Linked DNA regions of Oryctolagus cuniculus. The protein of the gene in region 2 purifies or fractionates together with the protein of the main gene of each other region. This does not show direct contact. Links are inferred from orthologs where the notes say so. Each region holds a gene or a part of one and is shown on either strand. Other genes may lie near its edges. The genes, in order: GALNT16, SLC39A11 and FAM174A.

The links.
Region 1: the proteins of SLC39A11 (region 2) and GALNT16 purify together in Homo sapiens (co-immunoprecipitation; 3 studies listed by BioGRID and IntAct, counting the BioPlex papers as one, with this or other methods). This does not show direct contact. The link is inferred for Oryctolagus cuniculus from reciprocal best matches to the Homo sapiens genes SLC39A11 and GALNT16.
Region 3: the proteins of SLC39A11 (region 2) and FAM174A purify together in Homo sapiens (co-immunoprecipitation; 3 studies listed by BioGRID and IntAct, counting the BioPlex papers as one, with this or other methods). This does not show direct contact. The link is inferred for Oryctolagus cuniculus from reciprocal best matches to the Homo sapiens genes SLC39A11 and FAM174A.

The regions. Positions count from the first base shown.
Region 1 is NC_091451.1:15,216,727-15,220,370, reverse strand, and holds part of GALNT16 (polypeptide N-acetylgalactosaminyltransferase 16), read right to left. Parts: intron 3,435-3,644; coding exon 3,308-3,434; intron 1,816-3,307; coding exon 1,723-1,815; intron 1-1,722. UniProt on the Homo sapiens protein: Catalyzes the initial reaction in O-linked oligosaccharide biosynthesis, the transfer of an N-acetyl-D-galactosamine residue to a serine or threonine residue on the protein receptor.
Region 2 is NC_091448.1:7,100,743-7,104,386, forward strand, and holds part of SLC39A11 (zinc transporter ZIP11), read left to right. Parts: intron 1-231; coding exon 232-402; intron 403-3,644. UniProt on the Homo sapiens protein: Zinc importer that regulates cytosolic zinc concentrations either via zinc influx from the extracellular compartment or efflux from intracellular organelles such as Golgi apparatus. May transport copper ions as well.
Region 3 is NC_091445.1:23,031,953-23,036,383, forward strand, and holds the start of FAM174A (membrane protein FAM174A), read left to right. Parts: upstream 1-1,538; 5' UTR 1,539-1,717; coding exon 1,718-2,130; intron 2,131-2,435; exon of another isoform or gene 2,436-3,021; intron 3,022-4,431.

The DNA.
Region 1 (3,644 bases), on a different chromosome or scaffold from region 2:
TGGAAGCCCCCGGGATGGGCAGAGCCACCCCCACCCCCACAGGGCCCGTAGTCTCAGTCCCTCTTCCCATTTTCCTCTGGGGAACAAAGGCCAGGAGCCACCGCAGCCTCCGCCGTCCTGCCCTGGCCTCCTGCCCGAGTCATCCTCTGGGCTCTTGCCCCAAGCCCACCTTTCAGGACAAGCCCAGCTCTCGGGGGACCAGGCTTTAGCCGGCTTCCTGCCCCCTCCTCCCCCGAGACCTCGGCGCACCCTAAGCTGGTGCTGAGCTTTGCAGAGAGCAGAGCCGATTCCAACAGGTGTTTCCCTCTCCTGAACTCCACACTCCGAGCGAGGCCGGAGCAAGAAGAGCCACATTTACATCTCCTCTGGGAGCGTGGCCACGACCGTGCCAGCTGATGTGTCCGTGGGACACCAGCCCCGCGCTCACCTTCCATGCCTACACCTGCCACAGCAGCCCCTGGCCGATGCCCCTGTGGCCACCCAGCCCAGCCTCCGTGTCTTCCATAGCAGTCCACCCACCCCAGAAGACTTCTAAGAATCGGACGAATCTAAGAGGACGTGAAGGACTGAGCACATGTTAGCTCCCAGTGAACTGTTTCGTGGCATATTTTCTTATAGAGACGGTGACAAATCTGCATGAGGGAAACCAGAATTTAAGTAGGAGATGAAAGTGAGGGGGCTTCAAAAAGTGCATGGAAAAAAACGGAATTAAAAGATAAGCTTCCAGAACCAGCGCTGTGGTGTAGCAGGTAAAGCTGCTGCCTGCGATGCCAGCATCCCATATGGGTGCTGGTACAAGTCCTGGCTGCTCCACTTCCAATCCAGCTCTCTGCTATGGCCTGGGAAAGCAGTAGAAGATGACCCAAGTGCTTGGGCCCCTGTACCCATGTAGGAGACCTGGAAGAAGCTCCTGGCTCCTGGCTTAGGATCAGCACAGCTCCAGCCATTGCAGCCATTTAGGGAGTGAACCAGTGGATGTAAGACCTCTCTCTCTTTCTCTCTGCCTCTGCCTCTCTGTAACTCTGCCTTTTAGATACAGAAAGAAATCTTTTTGTTAAAAAAAAAAAAAGGTAAGCTTATTTGGGTACAAAGCAAATTTCAAAACCCACACATGGCTTTTCCATAACGCACATTTTCCATGAACTTTTTGAAGACTGTTCCTATATCCTCCACTGTGATCCGGTATGCACCATGTAGGTAGGACACACACACACACACACAACTGAAATCACAGTTTCATCATACAATGTTTACCTCTCACTGCAATCAACGCTAATTTTCCATTCTGTTCAGTGCTAATCTAACCCATAGTGTTCTCTCTCTCTCTCAATGCTGGTCACGACCCACACTAAATGGATTTCACAACCCATCTGCCTCTGAAAAATGCTTAGCGAGACTGTAGTCGTCACAGCCGGCAGGAAAATAGGCAAGCAGATCACAGCAGTGAACAGGAGTAGAGAGAAAAGCCCAGACTTCTTCTACAGACAGCCCCTCCCAAGGTCCTGCTACAGATGTCCCTGTGCTGCCGGCAGCTGTGCAGGGCAGCTCAGTCACAATCGACCCTCCCCCCGGGAGGCTGCGGGCACCTCTGGACAGGGCCTTGTCTCTGCGTGGCCTCCCAGCCCAGGGAGAGCTCTCTCCCTAGGGAAACTGTGAAGGTAGTTTGCTATGGCTGTGCCAACGTGGACGGAGGGAAACTGAGGGCGTGGGGTGGGGTCCCACCTGCCGAAGGCCTTCCCGATGGCGGAGGGCCGGGCCTCGTAGTAATACTGCTTGTACTCGTCCATCCACACCTCTGCGGTGCGCTTGGTGTTCCTAGAAGAACAGAAGAGCAAAACAAGGTCGCCAGAGAGACAGCAGGGTGGGGTCAGGGTCAAGATGAACGCTGCCATCCTTTTGGTCAGTTAAAAGTTTGCAGTTTGTGGGGCTGGTGCTGTGGCATAGGGGGTAAGGCTGCCACCTGCAGTGCCGGCACCCCATATGGGCACCAATTCGAGTTCCAGCTGCTCCACTTCCGATCCAGCTCTCTGCTCTGGCCTGGGAAAGCAGTAGAAGATGGTCCAAGCGCTTGGGCCCCTGCACCCGCGTGGGAGACCAGGAAAAAGCTCCTGGCTCCTGGCTTCGGATCGCTGCAACTCCAGCCATTGCGGCCAACTGGGGAGCGAACCAGCGGATGGAAGACCTCTTTATCTCTCTGCCTCTCCTTATCTCTCTGTGTAACTCTGACTTTCAAGTAAATAAATAAATCTTAAAAAAAATAAGTATGCAGTTGCAGTTTGTGAAAAAATGAGGCCATGTAGCCAAGGGCAAGAAGGCTCTCAGGAGCGTGTGCAAACGCATGCCGATTGGGGTGATATAAATTAGCGTAGTCTCCAGGGAGCGAGGAACATCTGTCAGTGTCCACCACAGACTCGGACACTCTCTAAGGAATCCATTCTACAGACGCGCAAAACCTCCCCGGCATAGCAAGGCCACGCACACGAACATGGAGAACAAAGCACCTCCATGTGATGGAGTGTGAGGCCGCTTTGGGAAAGGGTGCAAGCTTGCAAGCTCAGCCTGGGTGCGTCACATGGACAGACGCCTCTGCTCCACTCCGTGCAGCGTGGCCAAAACACAGGCGTCAGGAACAACCACAGCATGGCCCCCTTTCCATAAACACCAGCATGGACCGGTGGCTGTGTGTGTCTGTCTCTGTGCATGGAAGCCACAGTTATGGACGTGCAGAGCGGCTACCTTTCAACAGTAGCCACTCCTGTAGAGCCAAGAGGGCTGCGCAGGAGGAAGACGGGTCATGAGTGGCTTTCCAGGCCAACAGCAGGTGCACCCTGTGGCTGGGGACTTGGCTGCAGAGACAATGGATCGAGTCAGGCATCCGTGACCAGCAAGCGGGCCTCAGTGAGTGGCGAGCAGCACAAGTCAGTGAGTGAAAAGTGCAGCAGACAGAAAGTAAGCAGGGTAGGGGCCAGAAGAGAGGCGGATTGTAATGCGGCAGATGGACGAAGTTTTCATAGAGAAGAGCATATCGGAGCTGAGACCTGGACCAGCCAGGGAGGGAGTCGCTTGGTTATCAGGATCTTGGTCCAAGGGAGCCAAGGCAAGGGATACCTGGTGGAAACTTCCTGGAGGTCCTGCAATCCCAGAATGTCAGATCTGGGAGGGGGGGACTGGGGAAACCGAGGCCCGATACACGAGATGGGTGTGCATGTGTGTGACTGCCCAAAGTCACGGCTGAGCAACTGGGAGGGCCAGCGTCCAGGGCCAAGGCGTCCCAATCCGAGCCCAGGGCACGTCCGCTGCGACTCACCTGATGTAGGTCAGGGCGTTGCCCTCGGGGAAGTTGTAGGGGTGCCGCTTCCTGAAGACGTGGCCCACGCGGCTGCACGGGACGATCTCCAAGCTCCCGCCGCACATCCACACCCTGAAGGAGAGCTCTGCGGGAGACGGCAGGGGTCAGCGGGCGAGGGGCTGCAGGCCGAGGTCCGCTGAGTGACGGTGGGGAGGGGCTGGGCCTCCTCTCCGTGGTGTCTCGTGGCGGGGAAGGCTGGGGTGTCAGTTCCCGGGCCCGATGAAGCTTGGTGCCCGTGTTGCGGACAGTTCACGCCCCCCTGGCCTGGCGCATGCGCGCACGTGCCTGCACGCCA
Region 2 (3,644 bases):
CAGGTCTGCCATTTGGGTGCAGGGGCCCAAGCACTTGGGCCATGTTCCGCTGCTTTCCCAGGTGCATTAGCTGGGAGCTGGATCGGAAGTGGAGCAGCCGGGACTCGAACCAGTGCTTATACGAGTTGCTGGCATTACAGGCAGTAGCTTGACCTACTGTGCCACAACGCTGGCCCCCAACACACACACTTTTAAAGCAGTCTCTTCACCCGTTCCTCTCTCTTTGCTCAGATAAGAGTGAGAACGGCGAGGCATACCAGCGGAAGAAGGTGGCGGCTGCTGGCCTTGGAGGGGGCCCTGCTTCCCCGGCGTCTTCCCGAGGGAACCTGGCACAGCCGGGCGGCAGCAGCTGGAGGAGGATCGCGCTGCTCATCCTGGCCATCACCATCCACAACGTCCCAGGTGAGGTCTGGCCCCGAGCCTGCGCGCCCGGGCCTGGAGGGGGAGCCGCTCACTTGGCAGGAAGAGACGCGTGGGCGGTGGTGACACAGTCCTTTATGGAGGGGATGCGGGTGGGACACAGGTCTCTGTTGGCTCACTGTGGGGGCGCCTCATTGTAGCGTGATCATTTTACAATGAAGCTCCCATTCCCACGGCTTGGAGCAACCGTCCCTCTTTCTACCTACTTCTTCCCATATGGACACCAGGTTCGTTGGAGTGTGAACTTGTTACTGTTTGATTGCTCTGGAGGGGGCCTGTCGTGAGCACAGGATGTGTCTGGGTCTGTTCTGTGCTTTTTGAACCTAGTGAATTCCGTCTAGCTCGATGCTGGGGTCCGCCTAACCTGCTTTGTGTGTGCGAGAGTCCTTCAGAAATGTCTCACCAACCCTCTCCTGGTTAGCGTTTTGGAGTGGTTTGTTCTATGTCTTTGGATTCATTTTAATTGGAATAAAAAAGACATGGCGGTGCTTTATTTTGAAAATAATGTAAAGGAAATGGATTTGTTTTAGTGCAATCAGAAGACATGGGTAAGCGTAAAAATAATTTTCTAAAAATAATAAATATAAACAAATAAATATATAAATAGGAGAATATAAATAACAGTATCACAAAAATAAACTAAGGAAAGCTACTCCTGAGGGTATGTTTCAGAATTCCTGTTCTACCTCCTACCTATGAGTTTATTTTTATTTTTTCGAAGAGATTTATTTATTTTTGTTTGAAAGGTAGGAGCTGGCTCTGTAGCATAGAAAGTTAAGCTGCTGCCTGCAGTACCGGTGACCTGTTTGGGTGCCAGTTCAAGCCCCGGCCACTCCACTTCCAATCTGCCTCCCTGCTAACGCACCTGGGAGAGCAGTGAAAGATGGTACAAGTCCTTGGGCCCCTGCTGCCCACGTAGGAGACCTGGAAGAAGCTCCTGGCTTCGGTCTGGCCCAGCTCCAGCCATTGGTGACCATTTGGGAAGTGCACCAGTAGATGGAAGATATCTTTCTTTCTCTCTCCCTGCCTTTAAAATAAATAAATAAATACTTGACAGGTAGACTGATAGAGTGGAAGAGACAGAGAACTCTTCCATCCACTGGTTCACTTTCCAACAGCCTGAGCTGGGCCAAGCCAAAGTCAGGAGCCAGGAACTCCATCTGGGTCTCCCAGAAGGGTGGCAGAGGCCTAAGTACTTGGGCCATCATCCACTGCTTCCCAGGCGCATTAGCAGAGAGCTGGGATAGAAGCACAGAGCAGCTGGGACTTGAACCAGCGTCCTGATGTGGGATGCAGGTATCCCACGGCGCCACTACATGCTGCCCTACAACGCCCACCCCCGATGAGCTTATCTGGACAAACTTTCAGCTTCAGAAGCCTTGGTTTGCTCATCTGTGGAATGGGAACAGAATAACACGGTGCCTGGCTCATTTTGAGTCTTAGGTGCTAAATCACGGGTAGAGCTCTCAGGACACCGCTGGGGCCTTGAGAAACAGGAGTCGTCGTTCATGTTGGTGATTCTCCCGCTTGCCTTTCCAGCCTCGACTTCCGCAAGCTTCAGTCTTAAACATTCTGATCTGGTTTTGGTTCTTCAGGACTCAAGTTTGAGCAGTCCCCAGGTGCGTCCCCAAGTGATGTATTTTCCGGGTCCTTACAGAGCCCACAGAGCCGGGCTGATACCTGATTCCAGAGCCGAGACGCTTCCCCTGCACGGCTCACACGGAAGTCACTGCACAGCTTCCGGTGTTAGTGCTGTGGGGGGAGCAGGGGGCGGGGCCAGACTGAGCGTGTTCCTCCGTGTGACTTGATCTCCTTTTGCTTACACGATGAAGACATCTGTCATCTTTAAAGAGTGAAAGTGCTGGGGCTGATGTGGTATGATGGCTCAGTCACCGCGTGGGACACCCCTATCACCATCTGAGCGCCTGCTCCCAGTGCTAGCAAAACTGCTTCTGACCCAGCTTCCTGCTAACGCACACCATCGGGGGGGGGGGGCAGCAGGTGATGGCTCAAGTGCTTGGGCCCCTGGCACTCATAGGGGAGACCTGGATGGAGTTCCTGGCTCCTGGCCTCAGCCTGGCCCAGCTCTGGCTACTGCGGGTGTTTGGGAAATGAACTAGTCGATGGACCACCTCTCTCTCTCTCTCTCTCTCTCTCTCTCTCTCTGCCTTTCAAATGCAATAATGAACACTCTAATAGATGTCATGTCGTCTAGTCTATTTTGACTCTGCCTGAGGTGCAGTATGTCCAGTCGCCTTTTAGGCTCGGCTGTTTGTCTAGCTGAGAGGCGTGTTCCTCTGCTCCGTCTCTCCTGCCTCGGGCGTCTCTGTGATCATACACGGGCGGGCTCTCCCCGCGGTGTCATCAGCATCCGTCCCTCGTTTTCCTCTGGTCCCTTCCCCTTTGGGTTATGAGAAAACTTTTTAGGTTGGCTGTCTAGGACTTCTCCTTCCGTGTGTCTTGAGATGATGTCCACTTGGGACCCCAGCGCACAAAGATGACCACAGTGGATCGATCCTGCCCAGAGGGCCTGGTTGTCTCACCCCCAGTCTCTTAAAGAGACTGTAGAAGTCGGTTTCACCCTGAGGAGTGCTCATCGGCAGGGAAGAGAGGTACCTGTGTGTCCTCTGTCACAGTGGGGCTGTCTTCCGGCCACCAGGAGCCCTACTTGATCGATCCAGTGGGTTTAGAACTGAGTCCAGTGACCCTAGTCTGAGTGGTACCATGATGGTTTGCTGTTTCCCAGAAGAACAGAAAAACATGCGAAGATCCAGAACTCACAGCGCTGGACTACAAGTGCCCCGCTCTCCCGCACTGGACACCTGCTGCTGCGCCGCCCTGGCCCTGTGTGCTCGCTTGCTGGGGTCGCGTCCTGGCTCACGTTGACAGGAGCTGCTGTGGCCCTGTGTGCTCTGAGTGCATCCCTAAACGTCTGTGTGCTGGGATCTTGGCTCCAGTGTAATGACACCAAGAGTTGTGAACCCTTTAGAGATGGACCAGTGATTAGGGAGGAAGCTGATTAGGTCATAGAAGGGATTAATGTAGTTATTGCAGTACTGGGTTGGTTCCCACAGGAGTGGACTGTTGTAAGAGCAAGCCTGGCCCCTACCTGCTCTATTTATTCTTCTTCTTCTTTTTAGGTTTTATTTATCTGAAAGGCAGAGTTAAAGAGAGAAAGAGAGATAAATCGATTGATTTCTTCCTTCCATTTGCTGATTCACTCC
Region 3 (4,431 bases), on a different chromosome or scaffold from region 2:
AGGAAAACCTTTCTCTCTGTCTCTCTCTCTCACTGTCCACTCTGCCTGTCAAACAACAACAACAACAACAACAACAAACATTAACTCTGTCCCTACCCAGATGTTTGTTTGTCAGTACCTGCTCAAGTCGGGGTTACTGTGGATGCCAGCATTAAACCTCAGAGAAGGCTTTATTCCAGACCACTGCAATAGGGGAGAGGGGCCAGAACTCAGTGGGGCAACTCGTTGTAAACGAAGACCTGGAGAGCTTTTAGGAGCTGAGATGGCAGGATCATACGCCACCTGTGCTCGCTAAGTGACTCTACCCAAAGGAAAAGTAAAGCTTCTCCTATTTTCTTCACAGGAGAGTGAAGTAGGCAGGCATACAGGTTAAAATTGGTCAGATTTGTGAACTGGAAGACCACGCCCCTGTGTGGCCTTATCCCCCTACCTGGCCACACAGGGGTGCCCACCAGCCAATCAGGTTAATTAAGCACTCCCCTTTGGAGTGGGTTAAAAGGCTAGGGCACAGTGTGCTCTGCCCCAGCTCTTCTTCCCTGGCCTCTTGCCAGGACAGGGCTTGCTGTAGCCCTGCCCCTCCAGGGTGCAAGGCCTTTGGGCCATGTGCTCTAGGCTTCCTGGCCTAGACGCTCATCCACATGGCTGGTTCCTGGTGCTTGGTATGAACCCCTATTCACCTCTCTCCCCTAAATAAAGCTCTCACTCTCTTATGCACCTTTCTTACTAAATAAAAGCTTAAAACGTACCATGCTGCCTCGTTTATCTGTGCCGGTATTTAGAATTCTTCTCTAAATATTAGGCAAGAACCCTCTCGGGCTTATTAATAGCGGGGATTTAGTAATAAGCCCGTAGTGAAATTGTAAGGCACCCCAAATTCCAGTAGCGCATGTGGCACCCCGGATAGCATTTCTAGGGAACTTTAAGGGGCCACATTTCAGGGTAAATTTTAGGGGACCTTTTCCGATTTCAAGAGGATTTTTACAACCTGAAGCCAGCACCTGGGAGAAAGTAGATTCCCATCTCCCCGTCCCCTAAACACACCCAGACACTAGGAGATAGGGACACTGTCTGCCTGCTGGAATACATTGCAGAGAGAGGAGCCTCAGGTTCTTGGCTGTGATAAGAAACTTAAATTTTCGACAGGAAGTGCTCTGAGGAAAGTGGGCCAGGGCCTGGAGGCAGAAACAAGGCCTGTTGAAAGTTTGCAACTAAGCTGACTGTGCGGAACTTCTTAAGCATCTTGCTTACTTAATCTGTTTCTGCAGATCTGCACCAAAGAATTCAAATAATAAGCTTCCTATTTCTCAGCTTCCGCATGCAGAGCTGCTGCAAACGCCACACAATCCTGTCTGTCCGCTTTCTTTGTTACCCACCTTAAACCACTCCTTTTCCTATTCAGCCCGACAGTCAAAGCACCAAAACCAACCTCAAAGTCTGAACCTTCCTGCTTCCACCAGGACGCGTGCGCAGTCGGCCCCGCGCCTCTGACGTCACTGAGCGCGCCCCGCCCTGACAGGATAGCAACCGACAGCGTCTCTAGCAGCAGCGGCCTCTGAGATGCACGAACTTCCGGTTCTCCCAGCAGCTGCCGGCGCCGCCGCCTGTGCCACCTGTCAAGGCCCGGCCTGCCTCGGTCTCCTTCGCGCCCATGGTGCCTCCTGCAGCCCGGGCGGCGGGCCCGGCGGCTCCCGCGTGGTGAGAGGGCGGTCCAGGGACGATGAAGGCCCCGCACTGCTGCTGCTGCGGTCTCGGGCGCCTCCTGGCCCCTGTCCTGGTCCTGCTGCTGCTGCTGCCCGCGCTGAGCGGGCCCCTGGCGGTGCTGCTGCAGGCCGCCGAGGCCGCGCCGGGCCCCAGGCCTCCGGAGCCGCAGCCACGCACGCCGCCGCCGGGCCCCACCCCAGCTCGGCCTGAGGTCGCCGGGCCGCGGGGCCCCGAAGGCGGCAATGGCAGCAGCCCCGGGGCGGGGCTTGTGGCCGACGAGGTCGCGGGGAAGGCCGGGGAAGGCTCCGTGGGAGGCGGCCTCGCCGTGAGCCCCAACCCTGGCGACAAGCCCATGACCCAGCGAGCCCTGACCGTGTTGATGGTGGTGAGCGGCGCGGTGCTGGTGTACTTCGTAGTCAGGACGGTCAGGTGAGGCGAAGCCTCGGTGGGTTCCCCCGGGCTGCCCTAAGGCAGAGTCCCGAGACCAGCGTTGCTGTCTTCCTGCCCCCTGCACTCGGGGCTGCGGCCGAGAATGTGAGGTGGACGCGCATTTCCTTGGGGGAAGTTTGATTCTCCAAGTAGTAGCCGCAGCTTCTCCGCGCCCCACATCTCATCCTCTTGCCCGAGGCCCGCGCCAGTGCCTGCGGTGGAAGTGGGTCCCTTGCGTTTCGGCCACTCGCCCTGGTGATGCTGCACCCCCCCCCCCCACCCTGTTCGTGTCCCTGGGTACCTACCTGGCCGAAATTTTGCCTACAGACTCCTCAAAGGCAGGGTTACTGTTTCGTGGTTGGTTCAAGACGTCTTTGCACGGTGTGGCCACTCAGTACAAAGTTTCTCTTTGGGATAATCATGCAGAAAGGCCTCCTGGCTATGTTATTTGTATAAAACTTAGAAGAGCAGTCCTCCCTTACCATCGCTGTTTCTTAGTGTTGGCCGTTAACCTGCCCTTGAAGTGATTGGGTGGTTAGCTATGCAGCTGGGCTCCGTGGAAGCCTTGGCACACACAACCAAGGCCTCCCTGTGAACCAGAGCCGCTCAAGAGGGGAGCTGAGGACCAGCTGCTGTAAGCGCAGAGGGCACGTTGTAAGGATTGCAATGGTTTGTTGTTTTCCAAAGCGATTCACCTTTCGCCCCATAATTACCTACCTAGTCTCTGATGCCTTTTTTAAACATGTAGTTAAAATCAATTATTTAAACAGTGCTTCCAGTTAAGCAAGTCATTCTTAGGAATGGGAAAGGGACAGCATTTGATTTTTAAACTGCTGATGAAGAAGTGCAGTGTAAACTAGTGGTCTCTGGCACGTGGTCCATCCAGGGAACCCCTGGGTGCTGGGTTCCAGAGGCGTTTATGACATCAAGAGTGTCAAGTTGTTTTCAAAATAAATCGTTCTCTTACGACTTTATAAGATATAAAAAGGTCATTGATACCTGTTTAGAGTCACATTGCCAGTTAAGAGACTTCTTGTTCAGTTTTGGTGTAGTATACAAGAATAATGTCGAGTATCTGAAAAGGCCATTAACATGCTTTTCCCTTTCTCCAAGTTCCTATCTGTATGGAGCTGGGCTTTCTTCACATCTTTCAACCAAACACATTGCAAATTATTTAATACAGAAGTAAATGTGGAAATTACTTTTTTTTCTGTTCCTATTGTATTTCTGTCAGTTTAAGTAGATATTGAACAGATTTATGCCATTTTCATATTATATTACCCTGTATTCAATATTATTTTAGATCAACAAGCATTTAGGTGTTTTCTCTCATATAAATAACATGTTGAATATATATAAAATTCACACAAATAAAAGTTCCTTAGACATCCTGAATAATTTTCGAGAATGTAAAGGAATTCAAAATGCTAGAACTGCTGTCGTGAACAGTATTACTTGAGCAAGATACTATTGGTTCATAAAGACCAACAAATGTAGGCCCACTCACTTTTAATGGGGAAATTGGAAAAAAATGTTTTGGAGCTGTTATAGGCATAGAGCAACTGAGTGTTATATTTGTTACACATATGAGTAAGACGATAATTTGGGGAGACTATGCCCCTCAATTGTTTTTGTTTCTAACTCTTTTTAAATATTTATTTATTTATTTGAAAGGAAGAGTGACAGGGAGAGGCAGAGAAAGAGAGAGAGAGAGATCTTCTGTCTGTTGATTCACTGCCCAAATTCTGGCAACAGCCAAGATTGGCCCAGACCAAAACCAGGAGCCGGGTACTCTATCCAGATCTTCCATGTGGGTGGTAAGAACCCAAATACATGGGCCATCTTCCCCTGCTATCCCAAGTACATTAGAAAGGAGCTAGATCAGAAGTTGAGCAGCAGGGACTCAAATCACCACTCAGAGATGGGATGCTAGTGTATCAAGTGGCAGCCTAACCTGCTGCACCACAATGCATCCCCTGCCTCTGCCTTGTTTATAATATTATATACAAATGTTTGTTGTTGATTTTGTTATTCACTGTTGTGAAACTTGGAAGGACGTAATCTTTTTAATCAGATTCTATTGGGTGACTCTGTAATATGGCATATGAGAACAACCAAATTCTGAACTATGGCTAGTAAAAGCTATTCTTTAACCAGTATCTCACACATCCATGCCATCCAAGTCCTAAATTTAGTTGGCTACCGAACTTCCAAAGCTTGATTGATGCTAACAATGCCTGGGTGATGTTCAGAACTCATAATTTCCCTTCCAGATTATGGTTTTCATTCTCATTTTGGTAA